Linked DNA regions of Kluyveromyces lactis. The protein of the gene in region 4 interacts with the protein of the main gene of each other region in a biochemical or structural test. Links are inferred from orthologs where the notes say so. Each region holds a gene or a part of one and is shown on either strand. Other genes may lie near its edges.

The links.
Region 1: the proteins of CYC8 (region 4) and GAL80 form a complex in vitro, tested with the Saccharomyces cerevisiae proteins (2 studies listed by BioGRID). The link is inferred for Kluyveromyces lactis from reciprocal best matches to the Saccharomyces cerevisiae genes CYC8 and GAL80.
Region 2: the proteins of CYC8 (region 4) and MIG1 form a complex in vitro, tested with the Saccharomyces cerevisiae proteins (2 studies listed by BioGRID). The link is inferred for Kluyveromyces lactis from reciprocal best matches to the Saccharomyces cerevisiae genes CYC8 and MIG1.
Region 3: the proteins of CYC8 (region 4) and RFX1 form a complex in vitro, tested with the Saccharomyces cerevisiae proteins (2 studies listed by BioGRID). The link is inferred for Kluyveromyces lactis from reciprocal best matches to the Saccharomyces cerevisiae genes CYC8 and RFX1.

Annotation. Positions count from the first base shown.
Region 1 is NC_006037.1:726,651-730,315, forward strand, and holds GAL80 (transcription regulator GAL80), read right to left. Parts: upstream 2,140-3,665; coding exon 766-2,139; downstream 1-765. Other genes in the region: AIM32 (Aim32p), read right to left, coding at 1-335; SUR7 (Sur7p), read right to left, coding at 2,790-3,662. UniProt on the Saccharomyces cerevisiae protein: This protein is a negative regulator for the gene expression of the lactose/galactose metabolic genes. It binds to GAL4 and so blocks transcriptional activation by it, in the absence of an inducing sugar.
Region 2 is NC_006041.1:965,337-968,850, reverse strand, and holds MIG1 (transcription factor MIG1), read right to left. Parts: upstream 2,047-3,514; coding exon 622-2,046; downstream 1-621. Other genes in the region: U6 snRNP complex subunit PRP24, read right to left, coding at 1-177. UniProt on the Saccharomyces cerevisiae protein: Involved in glucose repression of the SUC, GAL and MAL genes as well as of the CAT8 gene. Binds to two sites in the upstream region of SUC2.
Region 3 is NC_006040.1:414,498-419,028, forward strand, and holds RFX1 (Rfx1p), read right to left. Parts: upstream 2,835-4,531; coding exon 375-2,834; downstream 1-374.
Region 4 is NC_006038.1:812,577-817,102, reverse strand, and holds the start of CYC8 (transcription regulator CYC8), read right to left. Parts: upstream 2,801-4,526; coding exon 1-2,800. UniProt on the Saccharomyces cerevisiae protein: Acts as a component of the CYC8-TUP1 corepressor complex which is involved in the repression of many genes in a wide variety of physiological processes including heme-regulated and catabolite repressed genes.

The DNA.
Region 1 (3,665 bases), on a different chromosome or scaffold from region 4:
GATTTCAAAGTACCCACCATGCTATGAGGGTATTCATGAGCCATCTCTAGTTTCGAAGGCCAGTTTTTCCATCCTTTTGGGTCCTTTGATAACATTAATACATGTTTGTGGTATTCTGGTACTTTATTTGGCAAAGTTAACGAGATATCCAACTGACTCTTGTCTGGTAACTTTTCATTCAACCTCTTTACGAAGCATTCACATTCAGTGACTAAATTGTTCTTTATATCATCAGGAACCGATTTAAACTGGTACGGCCTATGGAAAAGACGTTTCAACACCAATGCATTATGCCCAGGGAATTTTATTATTCTTGAATATGAGTACAAGTTCATAGCACTCTGAGCCTTTGGTTGTTGACCTTTTTTGGTTCTTCGATTCGTTCGCCTTAAATGTAATTCAATTGAATTTGAATATAAAGAATGGAAGGTCTATTATATATGACAAGAGACCTCGAAGTTGATGCTGGTTTGAGTTTTCATGGGAAGGTTGCTGTGGAAGCTGTCAGGAACTGGATATGGATGAGCTTTTCTTCGAAGTTTAGATGTGCTCTTTTCCTTCAATTTCCTTATTTGCGAAGCCGTTTCGTACGTAAGCAAGCCATAACGGATTCCCGATTTAAAGATTTAAATGCGCAACAAGTCTTTAATTAAAATCAGCAAATGTTGATGATAACAAGATCCTAGTTGTTGTGAAAGAGAGGACATGGCAACATTAAGATCATAAATACGTAGGATGGTATGGATACATAGATTTGAAGTTTATTTATATCATTATTTTCGACACGTCAAGAGTCTTTTCCTCTTTGTCGCTTCTGAACACCGCATCTATTAGCCGGTGCAATATGATGGCATCTTTGAATGTGGGGAATCCTTCGAATCTGAACCCTTGCTTATCAAATTTCGTGCTTGCGAACAAGTCATCGGGACCGCGTGATGATTTGGACTCAGGTTTCCCAAGGAAATGGTAATCGGCAATGGATTCGTAGATTCGTAGTATGTTTCCAACAACGCTATTATAGTTCCTTAGATGAAACACTTCCATGGTTTGTTCCTCTTCCGAAGTACCTGTACTTGGAGAAGGTGATTTAGTTACTTTTTCCTTGTCTTTTATGGCAGCAGCTCCATTGTTGTCAGTTCCATTGCTGCTACCGTTCCCATTCTTGATACCGTAGAAATAGAGCACAAGGTTCGATATCTCCACAAAACCTGCATCACCCTCGATCTTCAAGTCACCTTTAGTACCGTGTATATCTATTACCAGGTTCTTGGTCAATTTCTTCACTGGAGTACCACCTTTAAAGCTGCAAGATACGGGTACCTTCCCATTTTCCAATATTCCCTGGAATAAAAGATGGTCTGGGCACGTCTTTGAAATTGTTTCCTTGGTCCGTTTCCCATTCTCATCCAATAGGAACTGAGTTGGGATATTGTTTGAGATCATCGCATTGATCTTTTGGAAATACGACCCTGTGATGTACTGTAATACATCGATCGTGTGTCCGAACGAATTCGATATCAAATTCACACCGCTCTCGATGTCGTACAAATACTCCGGCGATCTCATTGGACGTTCATACCCATACCAACCACCGTTGCCCGATATCTCGATGGAATTGATGTCTCCGATACAACCTTCGCTGATTAACTCTTTGGCCCGAACGATGTATGGCGATTTACGTCCTTGGAGACATATGATCGTTTGTAAATTGGCACGCTGCTGAGATATCGAATACAACTCTTCTGCCTGTTGTACGCTTGCAGCAAGAGCCCATTCCACGTACAAATACCTTAGATTCAGGTTCTGGGACGAATGTTCCAATATATTCTTGACCACCTCGTAATGCTCTGGCACTTTTACACTAACAACGATCATATCGATATCTTTATACTGAGCAAAAGATTCCAACGAATCAAACCCTGTAGCATGTTTCAATTGCAACTGTTCAATGGTCTGAAGACTCGATTTCAAAGTAGGGTTGTACAAGGCCACTATCTGGAACTGTGAACTGAGCTGCTGTATGGCTAAGAAATGCGTCTTGGCAACCCAACTTTTACCACTGGTTAACCCAACGAAACCAACACGGATCGGTCTACTCGATGGCACCGTGGATAATTTGGACCGTTTGTTATTGTTCATGATGCCGTCCTGCCGAGATATTGTGTACACTGGATCAAATAATAACACTTTCAAAGTGACTAAATCACAATTGTCCCAAGATATACTATAGCTCTCTGTTTAACCTTTATATTGTCAAAAAGGGACAATGAATGAAAGTACAAACACAAACACAAACACAATGGAAGGGAGTGTCCAGGGTGGTGATTCCTGACTGTACTGATTCGACGGAGTTTTATTTGATTTCGTTGAAGTGGTTAAAGTGAATAATTCTTGAATTGAGAGGAACAAAGAGTGGATAAAATAACGGAATGGAGAGGTCCGAGCGATGAATAATGTACGATTCGGAAGACTATGAGCCGGCTGAACCTGAGGTTATGGACCACTAACGTCCTGGTTGACAAGAGTAGTCATGTAATACAAACGTAAATGTGATATTTAATAGAATATAAGTAGATATAGTTAAAAAGAAGAAGAAGAATAGAAAGAATAAGGGTATTAGAAATTTAGAGTCATTTTAAACAATTGATAACTTGGGTTAAAGCTCGAAGTTTTGTTGATAGTAGTTTTTTTTTTTGTTTTAGTTGGTTTGTTCAATAGTATAAGGTTACAGGGTGCGAGACAAACGTTGTAACACTTTTCATCTCCCCCCGCTAATCACCTATCACCTCTCAAATCGATTCTTCATCAGATTTTTGAGTTCTTCTAATCTTGAAGAACTTGATACCGGTCTGGTGAGATTCTTGTGGCTGGGGCTCATCGATGGCAGTACCAGCACCGGTAGCTTCCAAATCTTGTTGTTGCTGCTGCTGTTGGAATTGCAACTGCTGTTGTTGTTGCTCGTAACTCAACGCTTGTTCCTTGTAATTTTGCAATTCGACAAATTCCTTATGAGCCTTGTAAGCCTTTCTGATGAAAGAGGCACCGGTAATGAAGAAAAGCATAATGTTCAACGCTACCGTAGTCCAAGAGAACGCCATCAATTTCACACCGATATCCACAGAGACATCGGCGTCTTTGAAAGCGTTTTTGGCCAACACCGTAGCAGCCGTTTGACACGCACTGGCAGCCATGTTCAATAGAGTACCGATAACAATGGTCACAAACACCGTCTTGGTGAAACTGTAAGAACACCAGGACAAGACGTAAAAGATTAATCCGACACCGATGAAAACTAAAGCAATCAAAAAGAAACAGAATGAGAACCTGGTCAAATAATAGTAGGTGTCTCTGTTGTTAACGAAATCGGAGGGGAATCCCTCTGTAGTACCGAAATCATCAACTGGTGATAACGGATAAGCTGGTTCCAAAGAAGAACAGTTGACGTTCTTGTTACCTGAGACACCACAGAGACCCCAGAAAGTCCATCTGGACAGCGCTGGAGCACCGGTAATGTTCGAAGTGTCTGCTTGTAACCAGTAAAACTCATTAACTGGACTATGTTCGATACTACCGGATAAAACGATGAATATCAACAACATGGTTGAACCCATTAAAAATAAAAGCGAAACGAATTTCGTCAATATAGACCCTACTGCGCTCATATT
Region 2 (3,514 bases), on a different chromosome or scaffold from region 4:
AGTTTTGAAATATCTTCTAACCTTATGATGATTATAATTTGGAGGCAAGTTCTTAACTAAAACAGTGGTATATTCGCGGTTATGCGTATGTAAATTCTTAACTTTTTTCAAGGTAGCAGCCTCCTCTACAGAGACATTTTCGTCTTCTGGGCGTCTCTTATTGTTTTCTGCATTCATAAGTGTACCACGTGCGATTAGGTCAGTTCATAAAATCAACTGGTTCGACCTGCTACTAAGGTTGCATCAGCTCCTATCACGCAACCTTTAAATTGATTGATACTATTGCAGTTTAAAGCCTTTAAAAACTTTGAATATCAAACATATCACGTGATATCTTCATGGAAAGATGTTTTTCCTCAGACGAGCATGACAACCAGTATCCTGAACACAGAATATCTTCGGTGATCGCAAGCTTCAGGTTCTCTGAAAACTTTACAAAGTCTATTTTGGATGGTTATTGTCAATAGAATGCTAAGATGAAATGATATATAATTGATGGACAAGAGCTAGTAAAATTCTATATTCATTATGCGTGAAAGTTTTATATCTTGAGTTAATATAATACATTGATCGATGAAGAGACGGTGCGCTTACATTTCTGTCCATTTTCATTAGTAGTCATTATTTTGGTGGTAAAAGGTCTAAGCTTCGAAGTGATGGCAACTGCACTGGCTTATTCTGATTCAAACTGGGTAACAATCCTTCCGGTGGAGGACTGTGCGTTGGAGTGCACAGTAAACTTGAAAAATGACTTTGGAAATAGTAATCTTTTTCGTCCTTACTGTTCCTTACCGGCAGTTGATCCATCGATCTAAGCCTTGAATGAAGTTCATCATAAAATTCTCCTTCTGTAGCTGAGCCGGAACTTGGTGGCATTGTAGAACTAGGTCTCATGATGGGCATTATGGCTTTTGATTTCTTAAGTGGCCGGCCATATGCATCTTCTGTACTCATATCCTCATCTTGTGAGATTACGGTTTCTTGCTTCAGTAGAGTAGATATGCTTACAGTACTTGAATTTCTTGAATGTTGATCTATCAGTTGGTTGAGACTATTGGATGACGAGAATCTGGAGTTAAGTGCAGAGGAGCTGAAGCCCGATGGTGATTGCTGTTCCGACAGATTTGTCCACGATCTGGTTCTAGGCAGACCGTTACTTATATACTCGTTATCAACAAACTCGGTCAATGGTCGGTTGGGTGCGGGATGGTGAAGATGTACTAGATTCTGTTGCGAATGATTATATGACTCTGAATTTTGAGACAAGGGTGTCATTCTTTGTAATGATGATAAAGCAGAAAGCTTAGCACGTGAAGCTGGTCTTGGTAACAATAGTCCGCTACTGCTGTTGTTGATTGAATGAGATGTAAACGAAAGTGACGGAGAGGATGAAGATGAAGTCAACGGTAGTTTATCAATAAATTTGAAAGAGGATGAGGCTTTGTCAGACTCAAATTTTGCAGCATTCAGCAGAAGGTCTATGTTACCACTATTATTCTGAGATCTAATAGGTGGGACACTATATATACCGCATTCATCCGATTCATCGCTACCGAGATCAAACATTGGCTTCGACCTCAACGATTTCAGAGGTTCAGTAAATGTTGAACCATCTTGTTTAATCGAATTAGTGGATTTCAGAAGTTTGTGGTTTGGTTCTATGACATTAGCGCTCGTTCCACCAGCAGAATCAACAGCCGCAGAGTCGTTTGCGTTTCGTTGTTTTTGCCGCTGCAATTCTAATTCCTTTTCACGAGCTATCGTCTCACTCTTCTTTTTCCTTCCTCTTTTCCCCTTTGGTTTATCACTGTCATGTATCCTTCTATGTCTTGTTAGTTCATCGCTTCTACTAAAGCGTTTTGAACATCCCGGGAAATCACATGCATGCGGTCTTTCCCCAGTGTGTGTTCTGATGTGCCTAGTCTGATGTTCCAGTCGATGGAATCCCCTTTGACATATGGGACAGACGTAAGGCCTTGGTCCATCCTTGTCATGATCATTGATAGACTTCTTATGATTTTTTTTCTCTATAATCGCCTCTGTCATTGGTGCTATAAGTTCCAGATTCCTTTCGTATCAGTCACCAAATAACAAGACCAAAAACCAAAATAATATGGAAGCTTGCCTTGAAGTATTACAGCAGAAAGACCCGTGATATGGTCAAACAAACGGAAGTATAAGCTGAAATGATAGGTTTGTAAAACTCCAGCAGATCACTTGATGAATCCAGTATCGTGTCTTTTTATTTTGTGTGTTTTTGGGAATGCAATATCTTCAACCTTACAAACTTGGCTTGAAAACGTCGTACTGACTTCCCCGTTTAAACTAAGATAGTCTCACACAATATTTACAATATCGATGAACCCAATATCAGAAATGTTTTGCTGAATTTCTTTTTTACCTCCGAGAATCTTCAGAAAAAGGCAGATTAGACTGGAGAGGATTACGTAGATTTCAGGATAAAATAACTGATTCTTGAAGCCACAAAATTGCTTCGTTTCACAAAGGAAGTCCAAATAATACGACTATCGATGAACACCGCTATGGTTGACGTGTGAAGTTTAACAAAATCTCAGAAAGTGACAAGAATACCTCAAACCATATATATTAGTTTTTTTTTAACCACAAAAAACCGAATCTGTTAGGCAATGCTAAGACGAATCACTTGTCAACCCCGGACGCTTTTTTTTTTCCAGTATAATGCTAGCATTTTACTGGGACGGAGAAAGAAACAGGAGAAAAACATAATGTGGGCTGTTCACAGAGTGCTACTGAGACAATGAGACCTCAATAGATGCTGTACTTCTTCATTTCCAGTTTTAGCCTATATCCTTGTACAGATTCCTCCGTAGGGACGACAGAAAACAAATATATCCTCGGGAAAAAAAAGCCAAAAACTAAAAAAAAAACAATTTGTACGGGGTATTTACTGCACCACGGAAAAACCTGAATATTTCGCTCATTAAAAAACGTAAAAGAGAAGTTGCAAACGTGGAAGGTTCCTGGCTAACCTGGGTGTTAACAGGTTATACATCTTTGCTCTGTTTGAAGCTTTCCCCCCTCTACCCACTTTAATAAAGTAGTCCCGAATACCACAGCAATCTCTTTAGCTTGACTTGCTTTGCTCCATCTAGGGAAAACTTTCTCCTGCGTCATTTCATGTTCGAGGGGAATTTCGGAAGAGACTCTCCCGAGATTAAAAATTTTTCCGTCAAAGTAAATAAAACGTGAGAAAAGCGGGAAAAGTGTTTATCCGGATTGATTTCACGGAGAAACTACAGGATGCACTTTTTTCCCCAATCCATTTTTTCTACCCAAAGCTCGCTAAGATCTAGGGGAATCTAACCGTCTAGCAAATGATCGCCATGGCTAGTATATACACATTCTTACTCATGGTAAAAGGGTTAAGAATGACACGCATGATACCGACTGAACGATGTTCATTATCGGAGATTTTACATGCCTCGTCATTTTCCTTCCATATTGTTAGGAAAACAGACAAATGAATGAAAAT
Region 3 (4,531 bases), on a different chromosome or scaffold from region 4:
ATGAATTGACAGGTCCAAAAACAATAGTACAATTAATGATCATGAAAAGGAAAAGAGCAGAACGACAATTACCACGTAAATGCAAGAATGGGTATGGTAATAGATACAAAATTAATGGGAAGATTAGGAATGGTTCAATTAGATGGGAAAACAAGTCCAATTTTCGTTTTTTTATTCGTTTCTGAATAGAATAATAGATTAAAGGAATAGAAACGATAACGAATGGTAATAAAGGCAGGTAAATCGAATTTAAACAAGAAAAACAAAAACAAAACAACGAATAGGAGATGGAGTAGGTTTAAAGAGTAATATTCTTAGTGGGAAAGGTAACTTTAGCGTAGAAAAACAATCTATCAAAATTAAAGTTCAGAGGTTCAATCTTTGAGGAATCCTCCAACTTCGGCATACCAAAAGATCCATTCATCTAGAAAGGCCTTGAACATCCACCACAATCCAAAATTTTCGTTTGAGTTCGTTAATATTTCTTTCGTACAAGCAGCGGTGAAAGAATTGAAAGTCAATACTAGTAATCTAGGAGGTAGACTCTTGTTTGAAAGCACTCCGAAAACCATTTTAACGAAAGAGATTAGATCAAAATCCTCATCCGTTTTCTTAAGAAGTTCCAATAACTGCACTGAAAAGAGTTCTTGCATATCTTTTTCTAAAGCAGGGTGGTTGAAGTAAGAAAACTCTTGGTTTATTAGTTCGGACACTTTAACGTTCTGTTCCCAGACGTATAACATTGATAATCTATTCTCTTGCTTACTCATGATATTTGATAATTTCTTGCTGTTGTCAATCACTTTCACGAGCCTTTTCACAAGACGGCAAAACGCCTGTGCCACACTCTTTTTGAAGGTTACCATCGGTAATGGTAAATCCATGGTAGATTGCTCAACCATCTTCATATACTCATTTGAAAAGTCTGACAATTTGTTGAACACAACCTCTGGAATTTCGTTGAAGTCAACAATCAAACTCGAAAGCATCTTGGTCAGAGCCTTGTGAGTAAGTAGGTCTGATTGATGAACCCATCTGTACAATTCTTCAGAAATAAACAAGTTGTACATTTTTGATGATATTGAACTCGATGAAAATGATTGCAATGTTAATGGAAGATCATCAAACTTCATGAACCGTATATTTTCAAACAAAGTATTACAATAAACTTGGTATAGGGAGTTAACACTGGAAGCAATATCAGGATCAACTGACTGATTTACCGGTAAAAACTTTTGCAAGTCTGGAAATTCAATAGGTAGTTCCACTTTGGCTTCTGATGTTACTGCGAAGAAATCTGGTAGTAAAGCGTATCCTTCATCATAACACGTATTAAAACTTGTTTCAGCCGATAATACCGGTTTAACACCAGCATCATGTCCTTGAATATTTCCTGTCACGTCCAATGAAATATCTTCGGATAACTGGTTTAATGGATCACTTACCGAAGATTGTTTCCCCAACATGGCATTTGGCTGTATGGATTTTATTCCATTGCTATGATCGGATTGTGAGTCTATAGAATGCTGAGAATCACCCTCATACTTCAAAGATATTGAATTTTCATTATTTGAATGACTTGAAGTTGTCCCACTGGTAGACAACATTGCACTTGACGTGTCACTATTCGACGACCCTGTCGGTGTTAAATCTGAAGAAGTAGCGAAAGGAGAAACAAGCTTGAGTCCACAGTAATGGTACTTTGATTGTCCTCTCATACCCAATCTTCTTGTTTTCAAGAATGGGAACAAGGCTCTGATCAATTTACCAAGAGTGGCCTGAGATAAGGGTTTCAACTGGTTTTGAGCACAAGACGCCGCGTATTGGGCAAAAATCCTACCGCGGCGGACGTAAGATTCAGTGTCTGTCACACAGTTGCTCATTAGCCATATTAAGGCATACACTTGCCTCTCGCGTTCTCTGTGCTGTTCTGCCGATTGAATTTCAGATTTGGCATGCGTAGAGGTATCCATGTTGAGTACTTGGATTTCAGCATTTCTAACTACAGAAGCATATTCGCTCAAGGGCTTATCTTTGTTCTTCATTGCTACTAATTTTAAGATATTCTCCTGGGTTGTTCTTTTCGAAGTCACAGCAGCACCCGTCCGTACAGGCTGCATAGCTTCGTCAACTTTCTGTTTTTTCCAGCGTTGGTCTTGGTCTTGTAAAATGAACTGTTGCTGTTGCTGCTGTTGTTGATGTTGATGTTGTTGATGTTGATGTTGTTGATGTTGATGTTGTTGATGTTGTTGATGTTGTTGATGTTGTTGATGTTGTTGATGTTGTTGATGTTGTTGATGTTGTTGATGTTGTTGATGTTGCTGATGCTGCTGCTGCTGCTGCTGTAGATGCATATCTTGCATATGTTGATAATGCAGGACTTGGTTCGGAAGTGCAGAAACAACTCCGTTAGGTGATATTACTGACAGAGGAGTGATTGATCTCATCATATTTTGTTGCTGGTGCTGCTGGTGCTGTTGTTGGTGACCTTGAGAAGTTTGAGGACTTGACTGCCCACCTGCTAATTGGTGATCGTTGATGGGAGGTAGTGGATTAGGTAAGAAACCCTGAGTGAATTGCATATTTGAGGAAGTAGAGCCATTACCATTATTGACAGTAGTACCATTGTGTAAATGTGCCATAGCGGCTGGAGGAGGAGGGTATAACGAATGTTGCAGTATATGTTGTAATTGGGCGGTCGAATTAGATGAGGAAAGATTTATGTTTGATTGGGAAGATTCTGGTCTTGGAATCATAGGGGAATTAGCTGAAGCTGAAGCTAATTGCAATAGAGTATTATGGTGATTAACCCACTGGTCCTGTTGAGACGACATCGAACCCTCAATTGTAATCTCAATTTTAGTTTTGATTCTTACTCACACTCCGCACTGAGATGATGTATATTCTATCGTCACTCTTTAGGTAAGTAATACTTTATTTTTTTGATTCTCAATATGTACACAGTAAGGAATGACTTCCAACAAAATGATGGATGATGTACAATGAACTGAAGGTCAAAAACCCTACTTTAGCTGATTCAACAGTATCGTGAGAGCTAGAACTAAGACAGAATGAAGGAATTACACCCAGAAGCAATCGAAGTGATCAAATGAATGTTTTAGTGATTCTTTTTTTCTTATGAGCACTTGACAAGAGCAGGAATGAAAAATTGAACTCTAGAGTCGCTGAAGAGGTATGCACTGTGTATAATTTTGCAATAAATATATCAATTCCAAACTGATAGTTCCGATACTCACACACAACCCAAGAATGAGGAATGTTGCCAAAGAAAGATTAGATGTACCACTGATTGTCAACTCAAAAAAGAAAACACACACAACTCTCTTTCAAAAAAAAAACGAAAGAACTAAAAACACAACAGACAGGACCTACAATCCGCCTTGGAACGATACAACACTCAAAAAACTGGATATCCGAAACTAGAGTCCTACAAACCTTACTCGTTTCCAATCACTTAGATCTGACTCAATCAGATACGGCTCAGTGTGTATTAATTATATGGTTGTATAATTTTTCAGTTTCTCGAGGATTCAATACTTTCACTATTAAATATGAAAGAAAAAAAAAAGGAATTTCGAAGCTCAAAGCATTCAAAGAGTCAGATTACAATTAAGAATCAAGAAAGTCGACTTTTGGGTTCAGCGCGGGTCCTGCAATGTTCATTCTGATAACCACTACTCGATTTTCATGCCGGTTTTTTTATCGTACTTGTCGTTTTGATAGAAAAGAAAAACATAAGACACTCGAAGTGATTTTTATTCCTTCGAGCGTGGACTTAGTCAGCCCGTAGTGGAAGTACATTTCCTACTGTTCACGCTGTAGCTCAACAAACGGCACAGTGTATTTACTATCTTCCTAGAATCACGTGAGCGAAGGGAAAAATATAACTTAAGAGTAGCATAATTCCAGTGCTGTCAGCGGTATCGCTCAGTGATTTGGAATTTAAATCGAGGAAAACGTCCTACAATTTAGGGACAGGCATGCGTTCACGGTTAAATCGTTCGAAATTTTTTCCGTCGTTCGAGCCGCCCCACTGGGATCTCTGTTGTAAGAAAAGACCGCCGATTTATGATAAAGGGCGGACTTTGCTCTGAGGTTCCTTCTCTGCCTTTTCAGCATTCTTCCTCTCGAGGGACCTTTTCCCATTTCTTTTTTTTCTTACTTGTTCTGTGTTGAGAACTTGAACCACAGTTGATCTCACGGTTGTTTCGAAACAGAGAGCGGCATAGATGGTACAAAGAATGGAGCCACGGCTGGTTTCGAAGGAAACACTGCTGTGGGCACACATTTCGAGACTCCTAAAGCCACCTCGAAAGCCAGTGTCAAAAGCCAAGATATAACGATTTCATGAGCTGATACGGAAAACTTTACTGCCGGTTAGAAGTGCTAGTTCCTGCAGCAGGTAGATAGGGGAAACTGCTTGAAAATTCGTCTCTGTATATACGATTCACATATAGACAGTCACAATTTGACTATTTGACTATTTAACTTGCTTCCCATTCTTTGGGTA
Region 4 (4,526 bases):
CGACTTGTCTCACAACTTTTTCCTTTGGAATGGATTCCGCACTCTTTTCGACTTTTTCCAGAGTTTCATTCTCCTCCTCTTGGCGAATCTTCTCCTGCTCCTTTATGCTTTCAATTGCATCAGCACTTGGCTTGATTACGGTTTCTTCCGTATCCAGTTTTTGTTTCTTCGTAACAGGCTCAACGACAGTTTCAGAGGAGGCATCTTTATTCTGGGCTCCATTAATCTTTTGTTGACTGTCAGAGAAGCCATCTTTGAGTAGGTTATTTGCAGCAGGAGTGTCAATGGCGTGTTGCTCCGTTATCTCAGGTTTAGCTACTGCAGGTTCTGCTCCATTATGATTCTCGGTGGCACTTGTGTTTTCAACAACGTTAGCTTCTGAGGTTGGTGCTTCAGGTTCACCAGCAGGTGCCTGAGATTCTTGTGGTTGCTGTCCCTCAGCCTCAGTAACTTGTACAGACTCTTGCTTTCCTTCTGCTGGTACGATGGTAGTTGTGTCAGCATTTTGCGTAGCTGGTGCAATGGTGCTGTTTGTATCGTTGACGATGCCAAGGTTGTTATCATTAGGTTCGACTTTTGGCTCGGAAGGTGTACTATGTACGGTGTTCGTAACTTGGGGTGTCGTGACTTGTGGTGCTGTCGTTTGCTGCTGTTCCGCCTCCTTTTGCTTCTGTTGCTCCTGCTCTTGTTGTGAGATAGCGTTGAACAATGTATCCATTCCCCCCTCCAAAGGTCTCTTTTGAGGAATGGTTTGTTGCACTTGGGGTGGCGGAGGGATTTGTTGAGCTTGTGTGACCTGGGAGGCTTGTGTGGTATTTTGAAGCGATTGTTCCTGTCCATTTTGGTATCCTTGCTGTCCTTGCTGCCCTTGCTGTCCTTGCTGTCCTTGTTGCACCTGCTGGGTTTGTGGTGGTGGTAGTTGTTGTTGAGTTTGCAGGGATTGCTGATATTGTTGTGGATGTTCGTGGTCTTGTTGTTGCTGTTGATGCAGTAGCTGCACAACTTGTGGATGCTGCTGATCAACTCTTTGAAGAACCGGTGGCATATTAGTGTGCTGAATAGGTTGCTGTTGTTGGAACTGTTGGACAGCATATTGTTGCTCCTGGCCATTTTGTTGCTTGTCATTCAGAGGATTGAACATTTGTGTGTTGTTTTGCAGCATTGGTTGTAACATCACTGGTTGTTGTGGCTGTTGGTTTGGTTGTTGGGGTTGCTGTAATTGAGATGGTAAAGGAAGAGCAGGCTGCTGATTGTATTCAATCTTCTGTTGTTGCTGCTGTTGCTGTTGCTGTTGCTGTTGCTGTTGTTGCTGTTGTTGCTGTTGTTGCTGTTGCTGTTGTTGCTGTTGTTGCTGTTCGCCCGATTGGTGTTGATTCATTATTTGAGCAGTGAGGGCGTCTAACCTTTCCCTAATATGAACGTTGTTAGGGTCCAACCTTGCAGCCTGTTTGTATGCATCCAATGCATCATTGACCTGATTGTTGCAAGTTTCATATAGAGTACCTAAATCGTACCACACTTCACTGATATAAGGATTCAATCTGATTGCTCTGGTGTAAGCGTCTAGGGCGTCACGATATTGAGCAATCTGGTAGTATAATACACCTATGGAACACCAGAATGTTGGGTTTCTTGAGTCGCGGTTAACGGCTTGTTGGAAGGCATCATATGCAGAGGTGTAATCATTTCTGATCATATGAATTCTACCCAAATGGTACCACGAAGTAGCATCAGTAGAATCGATTTCCAAAGATTTGAGAAGTAAATTTAGAGCCTTCTGTGGGTCATAAAATGATACATTATTCATACCGTATAGGCAACCGAGCTGTTGTAAGACTTTTGCATGGCGGTCGTTCTGTGATATGATATGTTCATACGCGTCCCTAGCTCCCTGCCATTCACCCATTGACTCTAAAACACTACCCAATTGGAACCAGACATCCCATTCTTGTAACGGAGCAGGAGGTTGAGGCAGGATATAACGGAAGCATTCCAAGGCTTGATTCCATTTCCCCTGATGTTTGTAAATGATACCCAACCTGAAATAAATTTCATTTGCCTTTTCGAATTGTGGGTCAAGTTCCAAAACCTTGGCAAATGCTTCCTCTGCGTAATCCAAAGATCCATAACGGTCGTATAGAATACCTATTCCATGCCATAGTTTCGGTATGTTTGGGTTTGATAGATGATAAAGGGCTTGTTGATAAGCTGCATATGCGTTTTGTAATTCATCAAGCATTAGATAACAATGGCCAAGAGTAGCCCATATATCGCCCAGCTCTGGGTTCGCAGAAAGAGCTCTTTGGTAAAGCTCTGCAGCTCTTTGGAACATATCACGAGACCTATATAGATGAGCTAACGATGTCAATGCGTTTGTCGACGATGGGTTATGTTGTAAAGTCGCATCATATGCCATTGCAGCCAGATCAGCATCGCCCAAAGTCTCTGCCAGAGATGCAATGGACAGCCAGGTCTCTGCTGTGGACTGAGACAACGGATCTAGAGGCTTCAAAGGCTGTTTAACCGGCAACAAATCCTGAGGACGTACCTCTATCGGCAACTGACTTTGTCCTGGTACCTGTTCATTGCCATATTCTGACGCTTGGCCTGGTTGTTGCATTGCTAATTGAGAAGCAGCAACCGCACCATTCATGGTATGTGGTAACCCTTGCAACATGCCCTGCTGATGTTGGTGTCCCAATAATCCATGTTGCTGTTGCTGCTGTTGCTGTTGTTGTTGTTGCTGTTGCTGTTGTTGTAACGAGACTGCCATTGCTGGACCTGAAATTGCGTTCAGCATATATCAAACGCCAATTCTGTTTCGTTTCCTACCTATTCGATACAATCCAAACCTGGATATCCAATCTGTTTATATTTTGCACACAAAGAAAAAAAATTATAAGTAGAAAAATAGTATAGTACAAGCGTGTGAGAGTGTATTCGTGCTATTTCCCAGGCTATAAGTCTGAATATTTCTTGCTTTTAGTAGACCAAAATACAAACCCTTTACGTCACACTTAAAAAATAACCTGGCTCTCGCTATTATCACTGAGCTAAAGTACGATCAATCGTTCCAGGTTTATAACCTACTATCAAAATACAGAACCAATAATTCTCGCAGATCTTCGTTACCTATTTGTGTCCTTCTCTCCAAAAAAAACAACAAAGATGTTGACAATCAAACTTAAGTATCGTGTTAGTAGAATTCTAAACATTTATTTATTTCAATTTTTTTTTTTCTGTTTCTTCAAAACCAATGCAAACGTTTATTTGTTATTTTTAATTTTTTTTTTTTTTTTTTCAACGGAATCTGCGGGCGTTTTTAGCGGAATCTCTCAGTAATGTCGACATTTTGGCAAACCGTCAGTTTTATGTCAAGATGCTGTATCTATTTAGTACTATGTCTACCCTATATCTAATTACTCTTGTGTATGAACGTCTCCATTGAGTCTACTTGTACAGGTAGGTCTGTGGAGTAGCTCTTTATTTTATCTCCTGGCATATAGAATCTTCTCTCTGACAACCTGCATCATGGAAGAAACGATAAAATATCACAGGATTCTTGCCTTCTTCTATTACGAATCAAAAACTCGAGGGGTGATAATACGAAGTGGAGGGAGGCGATGAATTCACCCTGACCGGGGAAAAAAAAACTGATGTCTGTGTTCGTGTTATCTGCTGCAAACACTTCTCTGTTGGATTTTCAGTGGAACAGAGGCAGGTAAAGTATGCAAAGCATTGGCGCTCGCACCACCATGTTAATCAGGCTTACTTCATCATTGCTTTTTCTTTTTTTCTACTGTTTCCTTTCTTTCTCTCAGCTGTAAGTTTCTGTGTGTGAATGTTCGTTTCTATCTTTTTTTTTTCCCTCGAGTGCTTAAGAATTGCCTTGGGGCTAATTCTAATGATATTACGGTATGCGATTTGCCAGATTCAGCAAATATGCGAGTCGTACGTTGCTTCTGGGACGAGTTTGTGATGATGGCTTGAGTCGACGTTTTTTTCGAAAGAAAAAAAAAAAATATTTCGTTACCTTCGCATAACAGCCGAGACGGTATGACAGCAACACCCTTGTATACCATGGAGTGAGCGAAGACGCGTGGTAGTGTACAGTGTAGAGCGTACGGTTTTTATTCCTATGAATGAGCCACATCTTTTGGTCAATTGGTCACGTGATCATTCTGATCTTGTTGTTTCTCCGAAAGAAATATTGAGGTACGTACGTCACCTTGGCAAGTTTCTCCGCCCGGAACAACTCTGATCTTGATTAAAAAGAAACGACTGCATTTTCCTCGAAAAAGAAAAGGTATTGATGTGATTTTCTACATGGCTAAACATTTACCTATGATGATGGATCCTGATTCATTTCTGATGAAAAAAGCGTTTGCTGAAGCCCGAAATACTACAAAGGCTAACCTTAATACATTGTTGCAAGCTTGGAGATACTGATTAGCATCAGCAAATTATAAGAATACACGCATCAAACAAGGGAACTTGCACTGATCTCTGAGTTGAAAATAAGATGA